Linked DNA regions of Xenopus tropicalis. The protein of the gene in region 1 purifies or fractionates together with the protein of each later gene. This does not show direct contact. Links are inferred from orthologs where the notes say so. Each region holds a gene or a part of one and is shown on either strand. Other genes may lie near its edges.

Region 1 (2,389 bases):
CCTCAGCACAGCTTCTTGTAGTTTTAGTATAGCATCAACTTAAGTAGAAATTATACCCACCCACCTCAGCTCATTCATTTGGGCTTACTTTTCTACTGAGAGTGTCTTGCATCCAAGTTAACAGAAATTATTTTCCTGTGTCCAGCAACAGTATGTATGAGAAATACATGTAACATTCAACAATTTTTACTTTTGGTCAGATAACCAGTGATCGAACAGATAGACGCTTACACTTCTTTCGAGAGAAAACAGAAATCACGAAATATATGGAGACAGCATGGCGCCTTAAAGAACAAAGCGAAAATATTCAGTAGAGGAAAAGTCACACAGCGATGTTTAGACGCTGCAAGGCTGAAGATGATCATTCTCCTAGTTTCCCTAAAACCAGTATTGCGAAGTACAAATGTCAGTTGATCGGGATGTGCTGCTCTGTAATTCAAACTATGTTGTAATTAATAACAGCACCTATTAATGTAATCACCTGCAATAAAAAAAATTACGGCATTGTACATCGTTTATTGTTGCAGTTTTTTCTCAAAACCTTGGCACACACAACCTAGCCATATTTAATGCCAGTTTTCAGCATTATGGCAGAATTAAAAACAAATGCAAAGTTTACAGCTGCATCTCTCCAAATTTCCATAAGAAGATGGCTTTGTTGGAGGTCTGTACAGTCTCTAGGTAGCAAGCAATTTGCTGCTAGTATGGATGTAGCAGTGAACTGGGTTGGAGAAAAAGGTCATCATTCCATTATGTCATTTCTTCTGTTCATCTGGTTTTGCTCTTCATTTTCTGTCTTACTTTTTTACCTGGTCTTTTCTACAAGAGACAATGAAACATTATGTTAGAAGCCTGGACCATACTGCATGTAAAACATTATTTTTATTATATGCTTTACTTACATTAGCATTTTTGCCACCCTTCTTCCCAGGCCTGCGTTGTCCCTTTCCATGTGCCACACTAGCTCGGAAACCGGATACATCGTTGTAACTTTCTTTTGTGTTTCTCTTTGAGCCTTTCTTTTTACCTCCAAAGCCAAACTTCTGGTCCTTGTAGCGTCGCTTTGCACTTGGCCTGTACATAATTTTTAGCATGATTAGAGGCAGAAATGCACCTTATTCTATCAGTTTAGTATATAGTCTGTGTCATACCCTTTTTTAGCCTTCTGGGCAGCGGATCCACCAGTCTTGTTCTTCTTCTGAGTTTGGTCCCCTTCCAGAAAATCCAATTTATCTGAAAGACCTGTTAAAGAGTTGTACTTTTGCATTTACTCAAGTATATTACAAAGCAAGAGGTGTATACAAAGATACTGTAATCACACAATTACTAATATTTGTTTAGACAAGATTTATACAGCTATTTTTGTATTATGTTAGTTGCTCAGATATCATGCATTTATGTAGTTTCTAAAAGCTATGTATTTTTTTGCGTCGGCTACATTAAACCTCCTCATTTCTTTTACTCTCATTGTTAAGCCATCCACAGGTATTGCAGCAGCAGTGTAGTAAATGTTTATGAGCCTTTCAAAAAAAAAAAAAAAAAAAATCCATTTGATTCTGCTTTGCCTTATAGGAAAGTGTTTTGCATTCCTGGGAAAATAAATAAAGGCCCTGCTGTAAAGCAAAATAGGCTTCTGCTGTTTGCCAGAAAGAAACCAGATACCCCCACTGAAGAACAAAAAGTGCCAATAGCGTTAGATTACAGTCAGTTTGACTACTGCTGACACCAGGCCATCAAAATGTTCTTTTCAGTTTTTCACCGATATGTGGGCTTCAGGCACCACAGTTCCTGTAGATTACTATGGCAAGTAGTGTTACCAAAACACACTGTGTGCTATTAGTTATCAAAGAAGTAAAGTAAAACTAACATACTTTAGACAACATTTCTTTTTGTTTTCAGGAAAGATAAACACTTTGACAACATTATACACTGAAATGCTGCAAGGGAAATTCCTTTTTCCTAACTGTACTATGCAGTCATATTATACAACATAATTAACTGTCATTTAATCAAACTCTTACCTTTTTGGTATTTTTTAATTTGTGTCATCATGGCTGATTTCTCTTTCTGTCTCTTCTGCAATACTTCAGTTTGCACCTGTGGAAGCAAACAGTACACACATTAAAACAAAACATTACATTACATGTAAACTATAATATATATATATATATATATATATATATATATATATATGCAAATATTTTTTTTTTTTTTTTAAATTGCCATTCACGTTATAAGACTAGTTGGTGGATCATCGGCCGACAGAAAAATGTTGGTGCCTACTTTGCACTGCTTCTGCCATTTCCTTTACTTGCATACACCTGTCTGCGCACATAAAGGGTATTTCAGGCTAAAATTTGCCCCAAAATACACACACCTTAAAAAACAT
Region 2 (2,853 bases), on another chromosome or scaffold:
GTGCTGCCAATCAGTCTACTGACCGGATCAAAGGAGAGAATCGGCCGCGAGCCTTTCAGGCAGTTCCCAGACATCTTCAGTTCTGCCAGTGTGTGAACTGCAAAAATGAAAGGCATCATGGGTTAGCACCTGAATATACTCAAAACAACAGCTCCCAGCTTTCAACCAACCACTAAAATTCACAGGGCAACAAAAACCAATGCAGAGGAACAATGAGATCTTTATCAGCTACACAGGGCACAGAGCAGCAACTACTATAGGATTAACTTACTATTCTGAACCAAGAACTTAGCAGAGGGACCCTCGGGGGAGTTGGATAACCTGCAAGGAAAGAAACATTTTAGACACACACATCTACTTATTCTAGGTTACTATCAAGGCTTAGAATGTGGCATTTATAGCCATCGCCCACAGGCTATACACATCGCCAGGCATAAACATTTGTACATACAGCTACACACCACACTAGTAACCTGCACGCTCAAATAAGAATCTGCTTGTTCATTACCACATATACAGATCCTGCTTCTTCTTGGCTTCAAAATAGATGCACTTATTGCAGTTCTTCATTTCACAGACCTAGAAACAAGGAGAAAGCAAATGAAGAAATCAGGAACAAGTCCCTAAAACAGGCCAGTAACCTGGTTTCTACTCTAACCTGATATTACATCCTGGGCTGTGGGCAATTAGAACATACTATGAGTCTCCCAAATATGGCATTAAATCTCCTAAGTGTCCCACTTGTTACCTGCAAGTTTTTGCTATGCAGTATTTGACTAGCAAGAGACTAACTGGATAGCAGGTATAGTAGGGATAAATGGTGCCTATAGTAGCAATGGGGGGATAATAGCCCCTGGGAAGGGACTGGGGCTGTGGGATAGCAGGTATAGTAGGGATAAATGGTGCCTATAGTAGCAATGGGGGGATAATAGCCTCTGGGAAGGGACTGGGGCTGCGGGATAGCAGGTATAATAGGGAGAGATGGTGCCTATAGTAGCAGTGGGATAATAGCCTCTGGGAAGGGACTGGGGCTGTGGGATAGCAGGTATAGTAGGGAGAGATGGTGCCTATAGTAGCAGTGGGGGGATAATAGCCTCTGGGAAGGGACTGTGGCTGTGGGATAGCAGGTATAGTAGAGAGAGATGGTGCCTATAATAGCAGTGGGGGGATAATAGCCCCTGGGAAGGGACTGGGGCTGTGGGATAGCAGGTATAGTAGGGAGAAATGGTGCCTATAGTAGCAGTGGGGGGATAATAGCCTCTGGGAAGGGACTGTGGCTGTGGGATAGCAGGTATAGTAGGGAGAAATGGTGCCTATAGTAGCAGTGGGGGGATAATAGCCTCTGGGAAGGGACTGTGGCTGTGGGATAGCAGGTATAGTAGGAAGAGGTGGTGCCTATAGTAGCAGTGGGGGGATAATAGCCTCTGGGAAGGGACTGGGGCTGTGGGATAGCAGGTATAGTAGGGAGAGATGGTGCCTATAGTAGCAGTGGGGGGATAATATCCTCTGGGAAGGGACTGTGGCTGTGGGATAGCAGGTATAGTAGGGAGAGATGGTGCCTATAGTAGCAGTGGGATAATAGCCTCTGGGAAGGGACTGGGGCTGTGGGATAGCAGGTATAGTAGGGAGAGATGGTGCCTATAGTAGCAGTGGGAGATAATAGCCTCTGGGAAGGGACAGGGGCTGTGGGATAGCAGGTATAGTAGGGAGAGATGGTGCCTATAGTAGCAGTGGGGGGATAATAGCCTCTGGGAAGGGACTGTGGCTGTGGGATAGCAGGTATAGTAGGGAGAGATGGTGCCTATAGTAGCAGTGGGGGGATAATATCCTCTGGGAAGGGACTGTGGCTGTGGGATAGCAGGTATAGTAGGGAGAGATGGTGCCTATAGTAGCAGTGGGATAATAGCCTCTGGGAAGGGACTGGGGCTGTGGGATAGCAGGTATAGTAGGGAGAGATGGTGCCTATAGTAGCAGTGGGGGGATAATAGCCTCTGGGAAGGGACTGGGGCTGTGGGATAGCAGGTATAGAAGAGAGAGATGGTTCTACCCAGTAACCCTAACGCCAAGTAGAAGCAGAAACATTAATGACTGGCAGGTTACTCACCTCATTTACTACAAACAGCTTGTCCTTACGGTCCATTTTTGTTTCTGCAGAGAGTAGGGGGAAAATCAAGGAGCAAAATTAGCAAAATTGACATTTACTGATCTAAAGCAGTTAGTAGAATGAAGACAAGCATCTTACTGGTTGTTATGGGACAAAGAAAATGCAAAGGTACAAGGCCTTGTATAAAGCTACTTAGGGACATAAAGAGACAGACAGAGGCTGTGCTTCTTCCATTAGGGCATATAGGTATTAGATATATATTTAGAGAGAGAGAGAGAGAGACACAGACAGACAGACAAACAAATAGGGGCTGCACTACTCCCACCTGCTTTTGTGTGGGGCATTAATGTCCGGAGGTCCTGCATTAAATGCCTGGTTCGGAAATTGATGCCACGGGAAGAGAATATGAGCACCCTCTCTTTGTTCTTCCATTTGCCCTGAGAAGAAATAAGACAAAGCACAAGTCCTTTAGCCCCTCTCTCTGTGTGCACCGGGCAAACTTACCCCCTGAGGCGCCTCGCGTGTCTTATGTCCAAGCATGGGGGGTGTAGGGGAAGCTTTTTTCCTTGCACCTCCTATATTGCCAGGATGCCAAAGTAAATGAGCAGCTCATGGCACTAAAGGTACAATACGCCACAGCACTCAGTGACCTACCCACTGCCATTCCCACCAGGGAACAGATACAGGTAACACAGTGTAGTGGTTTCAGTGCAAGTTATGGTGCAACCCCCCTGGGGCCAGGAAAGGCA

What was found. The genes of interacting proteins can lie anywhere in the genome.
Region 2: the proteins of ebna1bp2 (region 1) and brix1 purify together in Homo sapiens (affinity purification with mass spectrometry; 4 studies listed by BioGRID and IntAct, counting the BioPlex papers as one, with this or other methods). This does not show direct contact. The link is inferred for Xenopus tropicalis from reciprocal best matches to the Homo sapiens genes EBNA1BP2 and BRIX1.

Annotation. Positions count from the first base shown.
Region 1 is NC_030680.2:88,299,921-88,302,309, forward strand, and holds the end of ebna1bp2 (EBNA1 binding protein 2), read right to left. Parts: intron 2,098-2,389; coding exon 2,022-2,097; intron 1,243-2,021; coding exon 1,152-1,242; intron 1,075-1,151; coding exon 903-1,074; intron 820-902; coding exon 769-819; 3' UTR 501-768; downstream 1-500. Other genes in the region: fam183b (protein FAM183A), read left to right, coding at 201-314. UniProt on the Homo sapiens protein: Required for the processing of the 27S pre-rRNA.
Region 2 is NC_030677.2:199,187,566-199,190,418, reverse strand, and holds part of brix1 (ribosome biogenesis protein BRX1 homolog), read right to left. Parts: intron 2,542-2,853; coding exon 2,430-2,541; intron 2,149-2,429; coding exon 2,105-2,148; intron 580-2,104; coding exon 509-579; intron 322-508; coding exon 272-321; intron 98-271; coding exon 24-97; intron 1-23. UniProt on the Homo sapiens protein: Required for biogenesis of the 60S ribosomal subunit.